Linked DNA regions of Arabidopsis thaliana. The protein of the gene in region 3 binds, or shares a complex with, the protein of the main gene of each other region. Each region holds a gene or a part of one and is shown on either strand. Other genes may lie near its edges. The genes, in order: EIF3E, TRIP-1, EIF3C and AT4G20980.

Region 1 (5,519 bases), 360 kb from region 3:
TGTGAGATATGCTTTGATTGTCTATATTCGAATATCATAGTAATAAATAAATAAAAAGAGATAAAGAAAGAAGACTAAAACATAAGTAATATAGAAAAGTTATTGCTAGCTCAATCCTGAAACAATAATAAGAAATAATGCGTCTACCAGTTATACAGTGAGTAAACTTGGGAAATAAGCGATAGAAAGTTAGAAACCCCTTTATGCTGAAATTTAAAAGCTAAAATCATAAGAATTTTGTTCCGGATCATGTATAATTAAAGTACGGCCAGTTATCTTCCAATTATGAAGCAAAATCTTATTTTTCTGAAATGTTGTGATTGTTTTTGTTGGCAAATTCGGATGGCGGCGACACCAAATGGAAGTTCTATTCAAATCAATCGAATACGTCTTCTCCCATTTCTTGCGAGAGTTTAATGACCATATCTCTTGTTTCATGTCCTTCCCCTCTGATATACACAAACGGTCCTTCATGTTGCTTATAGTAACTCGACCATCAGTGGTAAATGGTATTTTCATACTCGCTTCAAAAGATCCACTGGAAAGATCAAAACACACTATATGCCATTTCCATTGCATGTTGTGTTTCTATTCTTATGTGGTACTCTCTGGAGGGCACCCACCTCCAAAGAAATTGAATTTATCTTCTCTCTTTTGATGACTCTGGCGAGTTGGACTTCTGGAGTAACTTTATACTATTTACGAATTGATATACTTGTTTTGTTTGTGACCTGTTCTTTCCACTGTCATAGTCTTAACTCTTAAGTTTTGTTTTTCTTACTTCTGTTATATGCTATTATTGTACTTACTATTACGCAAATCAGAGATGCTCAATGTAAGGCAGTAATTTACGTTGGCTTGCAAAAACCTTTAAATGCTTAGGGTGGATACAAAATGCTGATTTGGTTGGAAAATGTTCCAATCTGTGGATCCAACATTTCAAATAGAACAACTCCATAATAATCTTTTTCAAAGTAAAAGGTGAACTCAGAGCAAGAAAAAGAAAATAATTCCAGTCAACCGAAGGTGAGTTTTATCAAGGAAAGGCTTCCACAGCAAAATTTTGACTAGCGAGTTGCTTGCGCCTGTGTGTGTTCCAAGAGCTGATTCACTAACTTGTATGTTCGTCCTGATAAGCCTTTGGTGTGGTTTATCAACTGCTCATGCCTGCATAAAGCGGAAACAAGATTAGATTGTAGAATACGAATGATATCATAGATTTAAGCTTATTCTACTTACACGTTGGGCTGAGTAGGCTCCATGATTACAGTTCCTGACTCAGAATCAATCTTGGCATCAAGCTTTGAGGTGCGGATTAGGTTCACAATCCATCTCTCGGCCTCCTCATAGTTCAGATTCAATTTTTCAGCAAGTACCCTGACAAGGGAAATATAGGCTCGACATGAGTACAAAGTTAAACCACAAGACCGCAACAATTCTTCTCAACTTAAATAGCTGGATATGGCAATTTTCATGTGTTGGGAAAGATAAGGAATAGAGAAAATTCCAAACATTGAGCAATCCGGAGAGCAGAGTTATGTGTAAACATATACAACCAAATGTGAGAACTTACCCCATGTCAATCCTTTGATGAATTTTGCAATAGGTTTCAAAGACGAATAGGCGGGCATTTTCAAGAAATTCATCTCTCAGTGGTACAGTTGAAAAGTTTCCATCCTCAACTCGCTTGCCAAGGAATGGATCATTCACAATGACCTACATCATGTTAAAATGTCAGAGTATTGATTGCACAGTTCTGCACAAACAAAAATATCTATACATGTGGATGAGTTACCTCTTCACACTCTTTCATCTTCTTTTGAGCCCCATCAAAGTCATAATTGACAAACACACATGCCAGGAACTCGATAATTGGATCTTTGTAGGAGTAGTGCTCTTGCTGAATGACCTTAATGAATTCTTTCAATTGTGGTCTTCTCCTTTTGTTGACAATGAAAGCAGTTGCCAAGTAGCGCAGCAAGTGTGGAGCACTAGTTTGGATGGCATTCAGATACCTGAAAAAGTAAATCAAATTAGTATACAGAACTGCAGCATGAAAACAAAGTGAATTATTTTTCAGCAAATGCCCATACACAAAGCACAATCTTAAGAATAGGTCTGGATGAAAAGAAGGAGAAGACTCTAAAACTAGTGACTGCTAATTACTTGTAGGCACATCAGGACTAACATTAACTATAAACAAAGTTCTACACACAAACACCACCTATACATAACTTCATCGCATCTAGATCATGCTTATCTTAAAACGCAAGGAAATAGATGGTGATGAAAGGTATAAAGAAGAGATGCAGATAACAGAGAGGTAGAGGCTTACTTGTCTTGGTTAAAAAGATCAATGATCTGTGTCCTTCCATTATCATGGTTAAAAAAGATATACAGACCCCAATGCATCAACCAAATCCTGTTCTGCACCTGGTTTAACGGCGATGAAAAACTCTGAAAAAACAAATGGTAGTTAGCATATATACTCTCACATCTATATTGATTTCAAAGGTCGCAAACTAGAAGAAGTTTTAAATACTAACCTTTGAGTCAATAATCTCTTTGAGACGGTTAAGCTCTTCAAGAGCAATATCCCAGTTTTGCATCAATATTTCAGATGCGAGCTTTCCCCACAAGGCACTCAAACTCCTCTCAAGGTTAGAGCACAGGGTCCTGTACTGGTAAAGATAATCAGCAGCACCAGAATAGTTGCCACATTCAAACTGAAACTTGGCGTACTGGTACAAAGCCTCAATCTGGTCTGGACCAATCTGATAAGACACCAAGCCATATAAGATTTGTGTTCCACAATACACAAACAAAACCAAATCTGGATAACATTTCACAAAATTAAACAACTTAATCATCCAAATCACAACCTGGTAGCGTTCCTTGAGCATTTGGAGATTGTACTGCTTGTCAGCTCTTAGCTCCTGCACAGCGTTAGGGTTCAAAAGAAAAGACACGAGTGGTGCAGCAGCCTCCTCCAAAGATTTGAGCCTAGCGACAACCTCTGTTCTTCTCTCCACCATTTCTATCACCACAAATTTCAACATTCATCATCAAACAAACAAACCAGTACACAAAAACGCAAATTCACAGACATATCCAGAGAGGAATACACAAGAATACCTTGAGGAGCGTCTTCAGTGTGGTAGAGACTCTTGTGAATATCCATGGCGTAATCAACCATGTTCGTCTGGTTCAAAAGCTGGATTTTAGACTTCAGGATCTGCTCATCAGGGTAAAGCTGACGCTCTTGAAGGAACTCGAATATAGGAAACACCAAGTGTCTGTCCAGGTTAGGCGCTATTAGTGGCGTCAGGTCATAGTTCTGTTTGCTTTCCTCCATCGTCGCTAATCTCTCAATCTCCGCCGCTTCCCGCACTGGCAAAATCTTCTTAAGACGGCAGAGATGAAGTTTCAGAGACGACGAGGTAAAAAATCCTGTATATTGAAATTAGGGTTTTCTCGAATATGAGCTTTCAATATTTATAAATTCGCCCCTTTACTTCTTATATATTGTTGTTTACCCCACAAGGTATTTTTATCTCCAAAACGATAACTTAGCCGTCGTTATCTGATCGGCCGGTACCGGAGGGGTTAAGAAAAAATAATAATTAAATGTTTTTTGTGGAGAGGCGCACGGTAAGAAGCTTTATTCGTTTGGCGTATGTTAGTAGTCTGGACTTCTTTCTGTACCGCCTGTGTCCACTAACTTGCGCATGTTCGTCTTTAACCTTTCGCCCTCTTCCTCTATCATACTGGATTAGGGTTCTTCTTCGAGACGAACTCTTTTTCTTTCTCGTGACGAATGTTTCTGTCTAGAAGCTTTTAAGGATTAAGACTCTCCAAAATTTTGACGCCGTGTTATTCTCTTCCCGTCTCTCATGGATCCTTCAAGACGACCACCGAAGGACTCTCCTTACGCGAATCTATTCGATCTCGAGGTCTGTTAGGTCTCAATTTTTTTGTGATTTCCTTGAAATTGATGGTTTGTACTTGTTGGATGATGATCATGTGACTGTGATGAATGTAGTTTTGGTGATTGGAAATCTTGCAATTGTATAGCTTCTCCTTGTTTCTACAGTGTGTTTTTGTTTTACTGTTGAAATTCAGTGTGGGTTTTGTGGCTAAATTCTTCATTCTTGCAGCCGTTGATGAAGTTTAGAATTCCGAAACCTGAAGATGAAGTTGATTATTATGGGAGTAGTAGCCAGGATGAAAGTAGAAGCACTCAAGGTACAGTTTTTAATTGGTTTTATGGAATTACTTTTGCCACCTACTGTGATAGTTTTAAGTGACGTTTATCTGTGTTCTGTCTATATGGTTGGTAATGGTTAAAGGTGGGGTAGTGGCAAACTACAGCAATGGGTCTAAATCGAGAATGAATGCGAGCTCCAAGAAGAGAAAGCGGTGGACAGAAGCTGAGGATGCAGAGGACGATGATGATCTCTACAATCAACATGTTACTGAGGAGCACTACCGATCAATGCTTGGGGAGCATGTACAAAAATTCAAAAATAGGTCCAAGGAGACTCAAGGGAATCCTCCTCATCTGATGGGTTTTCCGGTGCTAAAGAGCAATGTGGGCAGTTACAGAGGTAGGAAACCAGGGAATGATTACCATGGGAGGTTCTATGACATGGACAACTCTCCAAATTTTGCAGCTGATGTGACCCCACATAGGCGAGGAAGCTACCATGATCGTGATATTACACCCAAGTATGTTGATCATATGTTTTTTCATGTTCCATGGGATCCGTGTAACCCTGTGTAATCCGCTTAGATAACTTACGGTGTTGGGTTTCCTAGATTGACACGTTGAATTTTGCATCATTTGCAGGATAGCATATGAACCTTCGTATTTGGACATTGGTGATGGTGTCATCTACAAAATCCCCCCAAGTTATGACAAGCTGGTGGCATCATTAAACTTACCGAGCTTTTCAGACATTCATGTGGAAGAATTTTACTTGAAAGGAACTCTGGATCTGAGATCATTAGCAGAACTGATGGCAAGTGATAAAAGGTCTGGAGTAAGAAGCCGTAATGGAATGGGTGAGCCTCGACCTCAATATGAATCTCTTCAAGCTAGAATGAAGGCCCTGTCACCTTCAAACTCCACCCCAAATTTTAGCCTCAAGGTGTCAGAAGCTGCAATGAATTCTGCCATTCCAGAAGGATCTGCTGGAAGTACTGCACGGACAATTCTGTCTGAGGGTGGTGTTTTACAGGTCCATTACGTGAAGATTCTGGAGAAGGGGGATACATACGAGGTTTGGATTCTGTGGCAGTATTTTATGAATCATAGTTTTGAATCCTTCATGGCTCATTCATGGCTCATTCATGGCTTTATTAACAACATTATCTTTTTGTTCCGACATTGTTTTATGTATCCTTTCTTCAGATTGTTAAACGAAGTCTACCGAAGAAGCTGAAAGCAAAGAATGATCCTGCAGTCATTGAGAAAACAGAAAGGGATAAAATTAGAAAAGCCTGGATCAATATTGTCA
Region 2 (5,063 bases), on a different chromosome or scaffold from region 3:
AGGCCGAGACAGAAGAACTTGCTAGGAAAGTGGAAGCCTTGACAGCCGAAAACATGGCATTAAGATCTGAACTAAACCAACTTAATGAGAAATCTGATAAACTAAGAGGAGCAAATGCAACCTTGTTGGTAAGTAAGCTATCATTAACCAACAAATTATCTTTATGAAGGCGTGTCATTTTCTTGAACATGGCCGGTTCTTTTTGGGTTGCAGGACAAACTGAAATGCTCGGAACCCGAAAAGAGAGTCCCCGCAAATATGTTGTCTAGAGTTAAGAACTCAGGAGCTGGAGATAAGAACAAGAACCAAGGAGACAATGATTCTAACTCTACAAGCAAATTGCATCAACTGCTCGATACGAAGCCTCGAGCTAAAGCAGTAGCTGCAGGCTGATCGATGGTAATTCATGTCGATTTCTACTTAATTTGTCGACATAAACAAAGAAAATAAGTGCTACTAATTTCAGAAAAACTTGATAGATAGTATAGTAGAGAGAGAGAGAGAGAGAGAGGTGTGATGATTATTGATCTATAAATTTTCGGAGAGAGAGAGGGAGAAAGAGAAACTTTTCCTCCAGATGAAAATTTGGTGTTATGGTTTGTTACTGTTAATATAGAGAGGCTTTTCTTTTTTTATAAAATGGCTTCCTTTGTTGCATTTCCTTGTTTTAGACCTGATGTAATTTTATGAAATCGGTGTTATTGCTTTGCGTAAGCTTTTGTTTCTTTTGTCAAGGTTTCATGCATAAAGGATCTTTCTTTTCAGGTTTCATACATCTCTCTCCGAAAATTTATAGATCCAATAATCATCACGAATATCACAAACATTATGAGTCTGTCTTTGGGTGATTTTCTTCGCTACTCTTGAGGACTGTCAATCACACAAGGCATTCTTTTCTACAACCGAGTTTATTTTATAAAAGCTGAATATTAATGCTCGCTCACACATAGAGCAGGTTAATTAACTTGTACTGAGAACTCTGGAAATGAAAACTAAAGATTCTGTCAAAATTCAAAAGCTTTATCATCAAGGTATTTGTATTGGTAGTAAATAAAAACATGAAAATGTTAAAAGAGAGAGAAAACAAAATCCGGAATGGGAGACTTTTTCAAAGATTCTAAAAGGTTGACGTTCAAGTAGTCGGAATCTAAATCTTGATGTTGAAGTAGTCGGAGTCAAAATGATGCAGCCTCACGTAACCGTCTTCACCTCCACTAGAGAAACTGAAATATACATTCCACAAACTCAGTGAGAGAGCCAAAACACACACTCAAAACCTCATCATGTGAGGATTGTGTCAATCAATCAAAATCCAAATGTTGTTAATTTACCTCTTCCCATCAGGATTGAATGCCAAAGCATTTATAGGTCCAAAATGACCTTTCACACCACCAATTTCCTCTTGCAGAATCTATATATTATACCAAACACAATGATACACGGTTATTTAAATATGTGTATTTTCCAGGTTACATGTTTCCAAGTAAAACACTCTTATTATAAACACTAACCTTGTCGTAAAACTTAGCTTCAAACTTTCCAGCACGATGATCAGTGGTAGTCACAGCTGATGCATCTTGACCACCTCCAAGTACAACCTAAAAGAGAGAGCAGAAACATTCACAAAGATAACATCATGCCTTGCTGATTCTGGGATTCGAAATTGAATTTCATGAAGCATTAGTGCATACATGGTTGAGAAGTGGAGACAGGGAGACAGCATTTACGGGCACCACAGTGGTGTAAGTCTTAAGAAGAGTCAGCGTTCTCATGTCCCAAAGCTGAAACAATCAACAAAAGAGAACACTCTATTAGATGATTTATATCTATATGTATAGTGCAAAAATTTGAAACAAGATATACTGTACAAGTAAAAGAAAGAAGCACATGCCTTTGCAGTTTTGTCAAGTGAACCTGTAAGGAAGTGAGAGTCATCAGCTGCTTTGCAGAGCGATGTAATGTCCTTCTTGTGACCCACTTCCTCATCTGATTGCTTGAGCAATTTTCCCGTCTAGTAACAATGGCAGTAGCACCACATAAGGTTTAGTTCATAACCTTAAAAGAGAGAAATTAATACACAAGTAAGGCCTTAAGAAAAATTGAAATACCTCGGCATCCCAGATTCTGATAACTTTATCTTCACCACCACTAACAATAGTTTGGTTCAGGGGACCCCAAACAGCTCTATTGATCCTCTTCTTTCCATCAGGACAATGAAGGACAAGCACAGACTCAGCATCCTCTACACAATTGCATCAAACAAACAATTTCCTTTTAACACATACAAGAAGTTGGCTAAAACGTAAGTAGTAATTCAGCTAGGAATGTACAACTTACGTTCCTCAGGATCTTCCGCAATACGCTTCACATGAATAGCAGCGGTACGGTCCACGAAGTGATCAGTGGTAATCACTGCAAGACGATCTCCAACAGCGAAATCCACAGACCTCGTAGGGGCATTAAACTTGAAAGTGAACAATTCTTTTCCAGATTTTACATCCCACAGCTTTGCAGTCTGATCAGCACTACCAGTGATCAATCTTGACGAGTCTCCTAAGAAATCACTAAACATTCAGCTTTGAAAGACTAAGACGACAGAATTCACTCGATACTATAAACCCTAAACAAGCTTGTAGCTAAGGGGAAACAATGAATCTAATCATCGACTCGATACTATTTGAAGAGAAATTGAGAAACTTACGGGAGACATCACAGCACCAAACAGCACCGTTGTGACCACGGTAAGTTCCAAGGCGCTCGCCGTTATCGGCAAACCAGAGGGTGGGTGTGTGGTCCTTGGCGCAGGAGAAAAGCAGATCTCCTTCTCTGTTGTACCTCAGAAACGTCAATGGACGTTCATGTCCCTTCATCAGGATCGGCCTCATCTTCAGTTTCTTAGGGTTTGATGCGAATCTTTGAAACAGATACGAAATCGAATCAATCAAAAGACAAGAAAAATAATTGAAGAAACGATTACGGAAAACGGCTTTCTTCTTCACCTGTTCACTTGAAGACGAGAGAGACGACGAGGAAGAAGTGCAAAAACCCTAGGAAATCAACTTTGTCCTCTCTTTTGACACTTTTACCCTTTTGTAATTTTTTAAATTACTCGAGATGCCACAGTTTAGCAAAGCTCAGTGGCTTCAGCGTTTTTAGCTTCTTCCCTATTTGATGAGTTCGAACCTCGCCCGTTGCGCCTATTTTGTTTTTTTCCTTTCTCAAAAGCAGTTTCATACGTTTTTTTTTTGTGGGTGCATATGTCTATTTGAAAAGACAAACAACAAGCTTTATCATCAAAGTAGTATATTGGTAATTTGGTAGTACATCAATTCTGAAAATGTTAAAAAGAGAGAAAATATTATGTGGAATGATGAAAAAATGGAAAGACATGTTCAAAGAATCTAAATCTTGATGTTGAAGTAATTGGAGTCAAAATGATGCAGTCTCACGTAGCCGTCTTCACCTCCACTAGAGAAACTGAAAATACATTCCAAAAAACACTCAGCAACAAAGCCTAAAAAACACTCTCATCAACTGAGGATTGTATCAATCAATCAAAATCAAATTTTGTTAGTTTACCTCTTCCCATCAGGACTGAATGCCAAAGCATTAATAGGTCCAAAATGACCTTTCACGCCACCAATTTCCTCTTGCAGAATCTATATATTATAAGACCAAATACACAGTTACATATCTCTTTCCAGGTTACAAGTTTTTAAATAAAACTGTTTTACTGCAACACTAACCGTGTCGTAAAACTTAGCTTCAAACTTCCCAGCACGATGATCAGTGGTAGTCACAGCTGATGCATCTTGACCACCTCCAAGCACAACCTAAAAGAGCGAGAGCAGAAACATTCACAAAGATAACATCAAGACTTGTTGCTTTTGGGAACCGAATTTGAATTTCAAGAAGCATTAGTGCATACATGGTTGAGAAGTGGAGACATGGCGACAGCATTTACAGGCACCACAGTGGTGTAAGTCTTAATAAGAGTCAGCGTTCTCATGTCCCAAAGCTGAAAGAATCAACAAAAAGAACACTCTATTAGATGATTTATCTCTATATGTAATATGTATAGAGCATATTTTTGAAACAAGTAAAAGAAAGAAGCACATGCCTTTGCAGTTTTGTCATGTGAACCTGTAAGGAAGTGAGAGTCATCAGCTGCTTTGCAGAGGGATGTAATGGCCTCCTTGTGACCCACTTCCTCATCTGATTGCTTAAGCAATTTTCCAGTCTAGTAACAATGGCAGTAGCACCACATAAGGTTTAAGCTAATAAAAAAAAAAAGAGAGATATTGATAGACAAAAGAAAGGCCTTAAGAAAGTTGAAATACCTCTGCATCCCAGATTCTGATAGCAGCATCTTCACCACCACTAACAATGGTTTGGTTCAGGGGACCCCAAACAGCTCTATTGATCTTCTTCTTTCCATCAGGACTTTGAAGGACAAGCACAGAATCACCAACCTCTACATCAATTACATTAAATCAATTCCTTTTACCCATACAAAAAAGACATAGGCTAAAAAACATAAGTAGATTTTAACTTAGAATTGACAACTTACGGTCTTCGGGATCTTCTGCAATGCGTTTGACATGAATAGCAGAGGAAGTTCCCACGAAGTGATCAGTGGTAATCACTGCAAGATGATCACCAACAGAGAAATCCACAGACCTTGCAGGGGCACCAAACTTGAAAGTGAACAATTCTTTGCCAGATTTCACATCCCACAGCTTTGCAGTCTGATCAGCACTACCAGTGATCAATCTAGACGAGTCTCCTAAGAAATCACAAACAAAACACTAATCGTTAAGCTATGAAAGACTAAAACAACAAAGACAACGACTTAAATCCTAAACTGAATCCATTCCATCCACTATATACTATTTGAATTTGAGAGGCTGAGACCACTTACTGGAGATATCACAGCACCAAACAGCACCACTGTGGCCACGGTAAGTGCCAAGACGCTCGCCGTTATCGGCAAACCAGACTGTGGGAGTGTGGTCTTTGGCGCAGGAGAAAAGCAGATCACCATTTCTGTTGTACCTCAGGAA
Region 3 (6,173 bases):
GTTGACAAATACTTTTGCACGGGAGAAGGAGATGGTATCTCAGCTGGCAATAAGTTGTGGTTCAGAAATTCTATTTGGTATGTAAGCAAAGAAAAAGGACATTTAAATCATCAACATTAATTGTGCAGATTCAACATAGAGTAGAGAGAGAGTGACAATAACTAACAATATGAGTGATGTGAAGATTGCTGAGAGAATCTTTATCCGGCTCTTATGAGTCCTCCAGTCTTGATCAGCTGGCCAAAATGTTTGACGTCTCTGAGCCGCAAGTCCACAGCATTATTATCCTTTTAAGTGCAGCAGAAGAGCCTTTCACTCCACCGGATACTTCTTCAGCATCTTTATCCGGCTTTGGCAAATGCAACCATGTCACTTGTACTAGTTACTACTTAGTACTTACTACGACAAGCTTGTGTTTCTTTTTTGTATCTGTGTTTGCCATACAACATGAGTTATAATAAGATAAGAGTTCCAAAAAAAAAAAAGAATTTTCTCAACAATATTCATTGTCGCTAGCTCCACGAAAGTAGCCGATTAAATCACAGATGTTCTTGATAAGAAATTAATCAAACACTTCATCGAGAGGAAGTTACTAAGCAAACAAAGATGAAAGAGTAAAAGACATCAACAAAAACAGACCTGCAAGCATACGAGAAAAAACCTAAGCCTTCTTCTTTTCAACAAGAATGACGCATAAAAAAAAACTTATTAAACTTTCCAGTAAAGCATTCTTAAAAGTCTTTTCCAACAACTGCCAATATCACAAAGAAAATAAACAATCACAATGCGAGAAAATGTGATGAACATCTCTTAGAAAGAACCATTTGATAACCAAAAGGAATCCAAAACATAACAAAAGGTTGAGACTAAGGTCAACACTGCAGATTTCTCCTCATCCTCTTTAAGTACGAACACCTCGGTTAAGACTCACCATACGGCTTGAGCCATCCATCTGCATACCTCTGTTTCCTGAACCAACTCTTCCTGCATACCCTCCTCCTCGGTTCTGCCCTGACCACTGACCATTTTGTCCAGATGATCTTCCTCCACCATAACCTGATCTGTTGCCTTGTCTTCCTTGTCCGTAATTCGCCTTGTCTTGCCAATATCCACCACCACCTGATGCTGCTCCTGCATAGTCCTGATTGTTGTCCCTTCTCCTTGAACTCAGATCCAGACCACCTCCACCGGTTCTAGATTCCATTGCCCTCTCATTGCTTTCTGCCAAAATCGAGAGTTTCTCCGTTAACTGGAAAGCCAATGATTGTAATCTGCTGTGTTGCACTTCATGGAAGACGATGCATCGTGTTGGCTGATCCCAGCTTGCATGCAGTTCCTCATTAATCATCATCTTACTCACAATGCTGTGGACCTGCGGCTCAGAGACGTCAAACATTTTGGCCAGCTGATCAAGACTCAAGGACTCATAAGAGCTTGAGTATGTGAATAGGTAAGTCCTTAGAGCCTCTTCTTTGATCCTATCCTTCACCATGTCAAGGATGCTGTCACGGTTCTTGAGCAGCCTCCAGACCTCAAGAGAGTTCAAAACTTCAAACGCCTTCTGGAAATCTCCTTTGGTCAGGGCTCTGGTGGCTGCCATGACATGGTCACGTACATTCTCAGGCGGTGCAGTGAATGCTTGCCTTTCACTGATCTCGAGCAGGCGGCGGAAATTCTTGCTAATCACTCTGCGTTTGGCATCGTGCGAGTTTGCAGCCATGTTTGGGACTTCAAGAAGCATGGCACAGATGAGATGAACTGCCTCCAGAAGCTCAAGGTTTAAGTGCATGTGGTACGGCATTTGTCTTCTCCTTTCCATCCTTTCCTGGTAAATCAAGAAATAAACCAAGAAAGTTTTATATCACATATAAATAAACTGAACGAAAAACATAACCATAAGCATCCATGTTGAAATAGAGAAAATGGATTGTGTGAAATGAAACAAAATGAAGAACCCAAAAATGCAACAGTGTTTGTAATCATGTCTCAATCAGAACTATCTGGTCAAACAATTTTTTTTCAATCCTATCTGTATTAAATCTAAAAACAGAAGATAACTAGTTACCTGCTCCGGGGTTTTCTCATGGTATCGGCTTTGCGAGACACCTTGGGCAAGCAACTCTCTCACTCTTTGACCAGAGTACAGCTCGGAAAGGCAGCTATGGGACTCAGTGATCATTCCAGCCCGGAAGGCGCAAAGACCAAGCTGCGCCATGGTCCTGTTAAAGAGAATCTGTGTTGAGATGTCCATGTGCTGGATGTTGTCTTGCAGATGACTCATCAGCAACAGGTCTCTAGCAGTCACAAAGTTGTCCATTAAAGCATGGTGATTGATATCACATAGCATCGCACGCGCTTTGGTCCGCTCATCTCCATTTCTGTAGATAAGGGACACAAGAATATCCATCATAGCTCGGCTGCTCTCTGGGAAGGTAGGCTTACGGGGAACAACCTCCGGAACAACAATAAATGAAGTAGGAGGTCCACTTTCCTCTTTGGCCTCCTCAGTTTCTTCTTCTTCTTCCACCAACTCAGCCAATTTCCTCATTGCATCATAAACTTCCTGGGGCTTGTAGTATATTGCCTCAACACGTCTTAAGGCTACCTTTGCAGCAGCTTTAAAATCACCCATCCGCTCAAAGTAGTCCTGGATGTTCTGAGCAAGGGCCAAGAACATGGGCTCATCCCTTAGCCTCTCAACATACTCACGGGTGTGAGGATCAATGCATTGCAAACTCTTGAAAAACTCAGTGTCAACCCTCTCCAAGAATGCAACCAAATTTCCCCAGACCCGAATTTTTCCATCATAATCTGTTGGCTTTGAAGTTTCGTTCTCATCAGGCTCAACTGTGTCATCCACAACAATGTTACTGTACTTGACGAGAATGTCCAGTATGGTGAGCATGTTAAGCACGCATTTCTTCCAGACATTGATAGGCATGTGCCCGCTGAGACCTGGATTCACATCAAACTGAGCCGAAATAACGCTAAACAAGATTTCAAGCTTCTGTGCAGGAGTCTTGGCAATCTTTGTCAAGTGCGTAAGCTGATCAACTAGCTCAAATCGAGCAGTGCCCTTTTTTCCACGAGCAGCCACAATTTCCTTGAACTTCTTGTTGACCCAGTCCCAAGTGATCTCTTTAGGATCTTTATTCATTAGCTTCTCCAAAAGCTTATCTTTTTTGCTCAGCATCTTCTCCCAAGTGAGATTATCAGTAGGTTCATCCACATCGGACCCAGGATCTACGGTAGGTCCGTCGATGGAAGAATCATCATCATCTTCAACCTCATCATCATCATCGTCATCATCATCATCATCTTCAGGTTGTTTCTCTTCCTCAACTTCTGGAGCCTCACGATACTTGTTGATATCGTCTTCGTACAACTTATTGTTCTTCTTCAATTTCTGTTTCATTGAGTTCAAAGCCTTGGAGTTACTAGTACTCATCTTCTTCTTGGCTTCCTTATTGGCAAGAGCTTCATTCAAGAAATCCTCCAACATAACAAGCGTCTTGATATACAAGGTAGGAGGCTTCACAGCCTCAGTAATCCTCATAACCTTCTCAAGCTGTTTGTTAACCTTATCAAAGTTTTCTTGAAGGCTGACCCAATCATTGATCTTCATAGCATTCTTCATCTGATCAACAGTGTAGGTCATCTCCTCAAAACGTTTATCCTTAGCAGGCTTAACCACACGTTTCGTATCAGTATCATCATCATCCTCACTACCACTTTGAAGGTAACGGTTATTGACGTCATCATTCTGAACCTCATTAACCTCTACCTCATAATCACTTTCATCTTCACTTTCACTTCCAACCTATCAACATAACAAGTAAAAATCATTCAGAAACTGAAGCAAGTAAAGGTAAAGAGAGTTTATAAACAAGAGGTCTGTTGAAGGAAACCTGAGTGAAAAAACGAGACGTCATCTTTTTAGCTGGAAGCGTAAGCAACAAGAACCTGATACACCAAAAGTAACAAATCTGAATAGTGAATCAGAGGAACGAAATTATAAGTAAAACAAACCAATCCATTCGAAGAACATAATCTGAACGAAACAATCGTGTCACAGATACAGACTCGTATCAACAAAGAATTAGAATCGATTCGAATCAATCTACACCAAACTAGAATCGAAAATTTGTTACGCTAGATGATGAGGAACAAAATTACCTGAATTCAGAAGATGGAGATGGAGATGGAGATTTGCGAAGGAGATGCTTGAGGAGGATTACGAATCTAAACAAAAATGGTGTGTAGCCGTCCAAGCATTTTGGTCGAGATGAAAAAATATATAGAATTAGGGTTTCGTGATTTACTCACTAAACCGGATTCGATTTGATTCTATTTCCATACCGAAACTGAAAACCGAGGACAATTAAAACGCTCTCGATCGGTTTTTATTTTATTTACAAACCGAATTGGTCGAACCAGGACTAAATGAAATTGTAGTGATGGTTAGTTCAATTAAATTGAGAAAAGAACCGGTTCTTAGTCCTCTTTCCTAGCTGCTTATCAGACAGATTACATATGAATTGCTTTGTACGCTGGTAACGTCAAATGACTAAATGTTTTCAAATATAGATACAAGTTTTTTTTTTACATAGTTTCATAAATCATACAAATTGGATCAGCAAACACCGACCGGAATCTCTAGAGCATATACATACAGAAAGAGAGAGAGAGAGAGAGATGGTCAATGATCAACTAAGCTTTGGTGATTGGAAAGATATCAAAATCCCCAGTCTTGCTGCTATGTATATAACTGACATTCAGTGTGTTTAGGATGTAACCTTCTCCACAGCATTGGTTTCATTGCTTTCTATCTCTCTCTCTCTCTCTCAAGCTGTCTTTACTTTAGTCGAAGTATCTTTTCCTCTCCGGAGCCATAAGTTGACAAGAACTGAATCAATCATGATCTGTAACATTCCAGATTTACGTCAATAATTTATAAAATTATGCACACAAGTACATGATGATTATAATACAATTTGTAACCTGGTTCAGGTGTGCAGCTACACAAGGAAGAACCAATAGCCCTGTCTCACCAAATGCACCTCCTAATTGCTCTACTACCGCCACCATTACCGGTAATGTTTTCTATGCCACCACAAGAAAAGAACTCCCAAATTTAAGAGATCAAAATCGGTTCTAAAAGGCAAACTCTATTATTACCTGGCTTGAAACGAGCAAAACTGCAGTGCTGTTTTCCTTGGAGCTCTTGCTACCACCTGTAAGACCGGAGAGGATGCGGATTGAAACAGCATTGAATGCTAGTAGAGAAAGATGCAGCAATCTGTAAGAAGACGTAAGAATCTTCTGTCAAACGTAATCCGCATTTCTAACACACAAGCCAAATATTTCCATGAGCTTCTTCACTTGGTATCTTTTCTATATGTTAAAAGAAGAATGCGTACATTCCAATGCCAACTGCTGCAAGGAAAACCTTAGGTTGAACGGATAGTAGCAGTGATCTTGACCTGCTCACTTGGATCCATGGCACCTAGAATATTAATCATGGAATAAACACTATTAAGTTCCCAAAATAACCAGGTAAATGCAATAACAAAGTCAGACCAGTTGAAGTAGCCAGGGAAGCAGAGGTTAAACTATAAAAAGGAAAAAAGTATTAAGTCCTTCTATCTCCAAAGTCATAACCGTGACTGCAAATATGGTTTTTGCAATTTAGTAAAAGCTTTGGATTGGCACATCAATGCCACGGAATGTTGAAATCCCAAGCTATCATACAAGAAAAGAGAAAGTTTTAAGTACAGGCATCTAAAATGCCAAGTTTAAGATTCCTGCAACAAAGCAAAACTCCAAGGATATGACTTCAGAAAGTTATTCAAGGGGTGTAGAAATTACGGGAGACTAACATTTCATATCTTACCAAACTGAGGCAGATTGCGTTGATTTTCGAAAAGAGTTTACGGTTATTGTCAACAAAGTTTGCGAAACCTGTATCACACATTTCAACAAGAGTTTCAACAAGGTCAGAAAGTAGGCAGCGATAAGCATATATATTTATTATAAACAGAACCATTTTGATCCATTGTCACGATAAAGTGACTGCTAACTATTTAAAATGGTATGTATTCAATTACTTTCACCAGAGAAGTAAAATATAACAAATGGCGCTCACCTTTGAATGATTCTCGAATAACCTATAA
Region 4 (5,311 bases), on a different chromosome or scaffold from region 3:
CAGAACCATTAAAAACTATATATGAACACATAAAATATATAATTGACCATAACGACGAGTCAAGATATATATTTAAAGAACTTACTTTTTTCCACTTTGTTTTGCTTTTTTTTTTTTTAGTCTTTGGTACATATATATTACAAACCCTTTTCCAGTAAATAGTTAGCACAAACTAATTATCAGATGTCACTTAAACCAACCTCCTTCTTTATATAAGCTTGGTTAACATTGAGTTTGTTATCATGGTCTATGTGAAACAATTCAGGAATAAAAAAAGAAATGGAGCCGAGCCATTCAAACACAGGTCAATCAAGATCTGTAGATCGCAAAACGGTTGAGAAAAATAGAAGGATGCAAATGAAGTCTCTCTACTCAGAACTCATCTCTCTTCTTCCTCATCATTCTTCTACGGTTTCTTCCTCTTGGCCCTCTTATATGCTTATATAATCTAAGATTCCATGTATGGGTGATGATCTTAATATTCTAAACTCTTTTATTATTTCATGTTAGGAGCCTTTAACACTACCTGATCAGCTAGATGAAGCTGCAAACTACATCAAGAAGCTACAAGTGAACGTGGAGAAAAAGAGAGAAAGGAAAAGGAACCTCGTTGCGACTACAACTTTGGAGAAACTGAATTCCGTCGGATCTTCATCGGTTTCGTCGAGCGTCGATGTCTCCGTGCCAAGAAAGCTGCCAAAAATCGAGATTCAAGAAACTGGTTCCATTTTTCACATCTTTCTTGTGACAAGCTTGGAACACAAGTTTATGTTTTGTGAGATCATTCGTGTTCTCACCGAGGAATTAGGAGCTGAGATCACTCATGCTGGATACTCCATTGTTGATGATGCTGTCTTCCACACCCTTCACTGCAAGGTATAATTCGGAAAGTAAAACATTTTTTGCAATGGAATTTAAGAATCAAACTTTGCTACTACTACTATGTTAAAACTAGGTCTAATCCAGCTTGTATACACATTGGGAATGAGTTCAAAGTTAGGGAATGATATTTATACTTGTTGTTTTTATATTTAATAAAACTTGCACTCAAAAACGCTAAGAAGCTGCATGTTCCCATCTGATTGTTAAGTTTCTACTAGCTGATTCCTATTAATATCCATATGTTAGTAAACTAAATTTAATTTATATTTTATATAGGTGGAAGAACACGATTATGGAGCTAGGAGTCAAATTCCTGAAAGACTGGAGAAGATTGTGAACAGTGTTCACTAATATTGATTCCTTGTTCCTTTATTAAAAAAAAAAGTTCTATGTTTTTGTTCCTTTTCTTGAATTATTTTTGGTGTTAGCTAGATTCCTTTTCTTGAATTGTATCATGTGCTGTGAGAGTGATGTTTCATTTGTAAGCATAATATATACTTTTCTCTACTTAAAGCTGTGAAATATATTTTGTTTTTTGGTATCAACAAAGCTGTGAAATATATGAAACTTAGGATGATGATTTTCAAGAACGAAACCAAAAAAAAAAGTTTCTTAGAATTAATACATGAACGAGCGAAATAACTTCACCTTTTTTCAATGTGTTATACTTGCCCAAGCATTTGTAATCTAGTGATAGGAGAAACTTTGGTGATAGGTGAAACTCTCAGATCCGAGTTTGAATATCCCGTGGTATTAGTTAGAAAACATTTAAATTCGGGACAGATAGTGTTGTGGTCCTTCGGGAAAAGTTTACTTCGGAGCACTTTGGTGCGTTTCTATCGAAGCTGACCAGATCAGCAAATAGAGTTTATCAAAAAAAAATGTGTTATACTATTTCAAATTGATGAATTTGAATTCTAAATTTTTATTTTATTTTATTTTTTTCTCAAAGTCAGAAATGAAAAACATGATTTAAGACTTCAAGTGTTATATATGGGTTTTGAAGAATACTAAAGCCCATGAGCCCAAACATTAACAAAAATGTTTTTTTCTTGTACCTTCTCTCTTCAACGTAGACTAAAGAATTAGGGTTTCCGCTTTCCACACACACAGCTGCAACACTATCTTCTCAGAAATGGTAACCGAAGCTTTCGAATTCGTCGCCGTTCCTTTCAATTCCGATGGCTGGGGACCTCCAGACGCTTCCGACGTTTCCTCCTCCGCCTCTCCCACCAGCGTCGCCGCCGCTAATCTTCTCCCGAACGTTCCTTTCGCTTCCTTCTCCCGTTCCGATAAGCTCGGCCGTGTAGCTGATTGGACTCGCAATCTCTCTAATCCATCCGCTCGTCCTAACACCGGATCCAAATCAGATCCGTCTGCAGTTTTCGATTTCTCCGCTTTCGCAATCGACGAAGGCTTCGGTCTCGCTTCCTCCGGTGGTAATCCCGACGAAGACGCAGCTTTCCGTCTCGTCGACGGTAAACCTCCGCCGCGTCCTAAATTCGGACCTAAATGGCGTTTCAATCCTCACCACAATCGGAATCAGCTTCCTCAACGGCGAGATGAAGAAGTTGAAGCTAAGAAGCGTGATGCTGAGAAGGAACGAGCTCGTCGTGATCGTCTCTACAATAACAACCGTAACAACATCCATCACCAACGCCGTGAAGCTGCCGCTTTCAAATCATCCGTTGATATTCAGCCGGAGTGGAACATGCTTGAGCAGATCCCTTTCTCAACATTCTCGAAGCTCTCGTACACAGTTCAAGAACCAGAAGATCTTCTTCTCTGTGGTGGCCTTGAGTACTACAACCGCCTTTTCGATCGCATAACGCCGAAAAACGAACGCAGACTCGAGCGTTTCAAGAACAGGAACTTCTTCAAAGTCACTACTAGTGATGATCCTGTGATTAGGCGTTTAGCTAAGGAAGACAAAGCTACTGTTTTCGCTACTGATGCTATATTAGCTGCTCTTATGTGTGCTCCTAGATCTGTTTACTCTTGGGATATTGTTATTCAACGTGTTGGTAACAAACTGTTCTTTGACAAGAGAGATGGATCACAGCTTGATTTGTTGTCTGTGCATGAGACATCTCAAGAGCCATTGCCTGAGTCTAAAGATGATATCAATTCTGCTCATTCTCTAGGTGTGGAAGCTGCTTACATCAATCAGAACTTTTCGCAGCAGGTTTTGGTTAGAGATGGAAAGAAGGAAACTTTTGATGAAGCCAATCCATTTGCTAATGAAGGTGAAGAGATTGCTTCTGTTGCTTATAGGTATAGAAGGTGGAAGCTTGATGATAATATGCATCTTGTTGCGAGGTGTGAGTTACAGAGTGTTGCTGATCTCAACAACCAAAGGTCGTTTCTTACTTTGAATGCTCTTAACGAGTTTGATCCTAAGTACTCTGGTGTTGATTGGAGACAGAAGCTTGAAACTCAGAGAGGTGCGGTTTTAGCTACAGAATTGAAGAACAATGGAAATAAGTTGGCTAAATGGACTGCACAAGCTTTATTGGCTAATGCTGATATGATGAAGATTGGTTTTGTCTCTAGGGTTCATCCTCGTGATCATTTCAACCATGTTATATTATCTGTTTTGGGGTATAAGCCGAAGGATTTCGCTGGACAGATTAATCTCAACACTTCTAACATGTGGGGGATTGTGAAATCCATAGTTGATCTGTGTATGAAACTAAGCGAAGGGAAGTATGTTCTTGTGAAGGATCCATCGAAGCCTCAAGTGAGGATTTATGAGGTTCCACCTGATGCTTTCGAGAATGATTACGTTGAGGAACCGTTGCCTGAAGATGAACAGGTTCAGCCAACTGAGGAAAACACAGAGGGAGCAGAAGCAAGTGTAGCTGCAACTAAAGAAACCGAGGAGAAGAAAGCTGATGATGCTCAAGCTTGATGGTTATAAAGTCAGGTAGTTCATACAAACAACTCTCAAATTCAAAAGGCGGTTACCATAATATGCTTGTTGGATTTGATTGAACACTTGTTTAGGATCGTGAATTTATACTTAGAACCCAAGAAAATGCAGAAAGTTGGTTCTTACTTCTTAGCCATAGAATCTTGTTCTTATTCATCTGAATTTCATTCTTATAGTTTAGAAACTGGTGACTTAGATTAATTGATGATCTTTATTATAAGTATAAACGTCGTATGAAGCATCGTCATTCACAATTTGGATACTATATTCTTCAGGTCCAAAGTCTACACCTTTCGTTTCTGGGTTCTTTTGAGAGTTGAAGCTTCAATCAAACAACAACAATGGAGGTTCCTTTTTTAATTATCTTGTCCTTTTTCAAATTTTTGTGGTACTGCTGTAATTTTAAGTCAGAAATGAGATTGTAGAACACTATCTTCGTGACATCTTTTGGAAAATCATTACGGATTGTTTACAGAACAGAAATCTTTTTACTATGACTCTTATAGCCACCAAATTTTCTTGAATCATTTTGCATTAGTTTTATAAAATTTGGTATTTTATGGTTCCAACTTTTGTTTGTTTCGGTCGTTTGGCGTATTCTCTTATGAGCTTGATCCTATTGTCCTGGTCGGTTTTTATCTCTGTTAAACTGACATAGATCCTATTGTCCTGGTCGGTTTTAATCTCTGTTAAACCGACATACTTCACATATATTTATTATTATAAACCCCAAATTAGAAAACTCAACCAAAATGGTTTTTACTAAGCATTCAGTTTTTTTTTTTTTTTTTTCATGTTTCCAATAGTAACATCAGATTATTAACTAATAATCGTAGCAACGGCAAAAACCATATCAGAACAGCAGAACAAACATCCCCCAAAAGCCTCCTCTTAAATAGGTTGTCTCTAAACCCTTCAATCTCCAAAACATAATAACATACTCCATTAAGCAAAATCTAATCTCGAAAGAAGAGAAACATGGATACCAACGCAAAAACAATTTTCTTCATGGCTATGTGTTTCATCTATCTATCTTTCCCTAATATTTCACACGCTCATTCTGAAGTCGGTATGATTACTACATCTCTATTGCATTCTAGTAAAATTAATCTTTTGTATCAAAATTCAGATTTAATGATTTGTTATTAACTTTAATCTGAAAACAGACGACGAAACTCCATTTACTTACGAACAAAAAACGGAAAAGGGACCAGAGGGATGGGGCAAAATAAATCCGCACTGGAAAGTTTGTAACACCGGAAGATATCAATCCCCGATCGATCTTACTAACGAAAGAGTCAGTCTTATTCATGATCAAGCATGGACAAGACAATATAAACCAGCTCCGGCTGTAATTACAAACAGAGGCCATGACATTATGGTACGTAAAACTTTATTATAGAATTCAGTTATTCTCACTTAACTATATTATTATTACAACACTAATCATTTGAAATCTTAAAGGTATCATGGAAAGGAGATGCTGGGAAGATGACA

Evidence for each region.
Region 1: EIF3C (region 3) and EIF3E share a complex: the UniProt entries of both Arabidopsis thaliana proteins name them as parts of the eukaryotic translation initiation factor 3 (eIF-3) complex.
Region 2: EIF3C (region 3) and TRIP-1 share a complex: the UniProt entries of both Arabidopsis thaliana proteins name them as parts of the eukaryotic translation initiation factor 3 (eIF-3) complex.
Region 4: EIF3C (region 3) and AT4G20980 share a complex: the UniProt entries of both Arabidopsis thaliana proteins name them as parts of the eukaryotic translation initiation factor 3 (eIF-3) complex.

What each region holds. Positions count from the first base shown.
Region 1 is NC_003074.8:21,195,719-21,201,237, forward strand, and holds EIF3E (eukaryotic translation initiation factor 3E), read right to left. Parts: upstream 3,602-5,519; 5' UTR 3,356-3,601; coding exon 3,136-3,355; intron 3,038-3,135; coding exon 2,883-3,037; intron 2,775-2,882; coding exon 2,547-2,774; intron 2,458-2,546; coding exon 2,336-2,457; intron 2,016-2,335; coding exon 1,796-2,015; intron 1,717-1,795; coding exon 1,574-1,716; intron 1,378-1,573; coding exon 1,240-1,377; intron 1,168-1,239; coding exon 1,068-1,167; 3' UTR 799-1,067; downstream 1-798. Other genes in the region: INO80 (DNA helicase INO80-like protein), read left to right, coding at 3,894-3,953, 4,158-4,245, 4,350-4,728, 4,850-5,282, 5,414-5,519. UniProt on the Arabidopsis thaliana protein: Component of the eukaryotic translation initiation factor 3 (eIF-3) complex, which is involved in protein synthesis of a specialized repertoire of mRNAs and, together with other initiation factors, stimulates binding of mRNA and methionyl-tRNAi to the 40S ribosome.
Region 2 is NC_003071.7:19,002,509-19,007,571, forward strand, and holds TRIP-1 (TGF-beta receptor interacting protein 1), read right to left. Parts: upstream 3,225-5,063; 5' UTR 3,000-3,224; exon of another isoform or gene 2,914-2,999; 5' UTR 2,886-2,913; coding exon 2,702-2,885; intron 2,554-2,701; coding exon 2,338-2,553; intron 2,243-2,337; coding exon 2,109-2,242; intron 2,012-2,108; coding exon 1,892-2,011; intron 1,782-1,891; coding exon 1,692-1,781; coding exon of another isoform or gene 1,671-1,691; exon of another isoform or gene 1,599-1,670; coding exon 1,512-1,598; intron 1,412-1,511; coding exon 1,332-1,411; intron 1,224-1,331; coding exon 1,148-1,223; 3' UTR 650-1,147; downstream 1-649. Other genes in the region: GBF3 (G-box binding factor 3), read left to right, coding at 3-128, 214-393; AT2G46290 (Transducin/WD40 repeat-like superfamily protein), read right to left, coding at 3,402-3,477, 3,580-3,659, 3,747-3,833, 3,929-4,018, 4,121-4,240, 4,341-4,474, 4,571-4,786, 4,922-5,063. UniProt on the Arabidopsis thaliana protein: Component of the eukaryotic translation initiation factor 3 (eIF-3) complex, which is involved in protein synthesis of a specialized repertoire of mRNAs and, together with other initiation factors, stimulates binding of mRNA and methionyl-tRNAi to the 40S ribosome.
Region 3 is NC_003074.8:20,832,889-20,839,061, forward strand, and holds EIF3C (eukaryotic translation initiation factor 3C), read right to left. Parts: upstream 4,388-6,173; 5' UTR 4,177-4,387; intron 3,987-4,176; exon of another isoform or gene 3,964-3,986; 5' UTR 3,933-3,963; coding exon 3,909-3,932; intron 3,821-3,908; coding exon 2,066-3,820; intron 1,826-2,065; coding exon 902-1,825; 3' UTR 522-901; downstream 1-521. Other genes in the region: AT3G56160 (Sodium Bile acid symporter family), read right to left, coding at 4,845-4,922, 5,002-5,103, 5,179-5,299, 5,421-5,506, 5,894-5,961, 6,146-6,167. UniProt on the Arabidopsis thaliana protein: Component of the eukaryotic translation initiation factor 3 (eIF-3) complex, which is involved in protein synthesis of a specialized repertoire of mRNAs and, together with other initiation factors, stimulates binding of mRNA and methionyl-tRNAi to the 40S ribosome.
Region 4 is NC_003075.7:11,214,980-11,220,290, forward strand, and holds AT4G20980 (Eukaryotic translation initiation factor 3 subunit 7 (eIF-3)), read left to right. Parts: upstream 1-1,901; 5' UTR 1,902-2,017; coding exon 2,018-3,793; 3' UTR 3,794-3,808; exon of another isoform or gene 3,809-4,089; 3' UTR 4,090-4,199; exon of another isoform or gene 4,200-4,401; intron 4,402-4,588; 3' UTR 4,589-4,659; downstream 4,660-5,311. Other genes in the region: AT4G20970 (basic helix-loop-helix (bHLH) DNA-binding superfamily protein), read left to right, coding at 280-411, 511-876, 1,159-1,233; ACA4 (alpha carbonic anhydrase 4), read left to right, coding at 4,793-4,883, 4,981-5,195, 5,279-5,311. UniProt on the Arabidopsis thaliana protein: mRNA cap-binding component of the eukaryotic translation initiation factor 3 (eIF-3) complex, which is involved in protein synthesis of a specialized repertoire of mRNAs and, together with other initiation factors, stimulates binding of mRNA and methionyl-tRNAi to the 40S ribosome.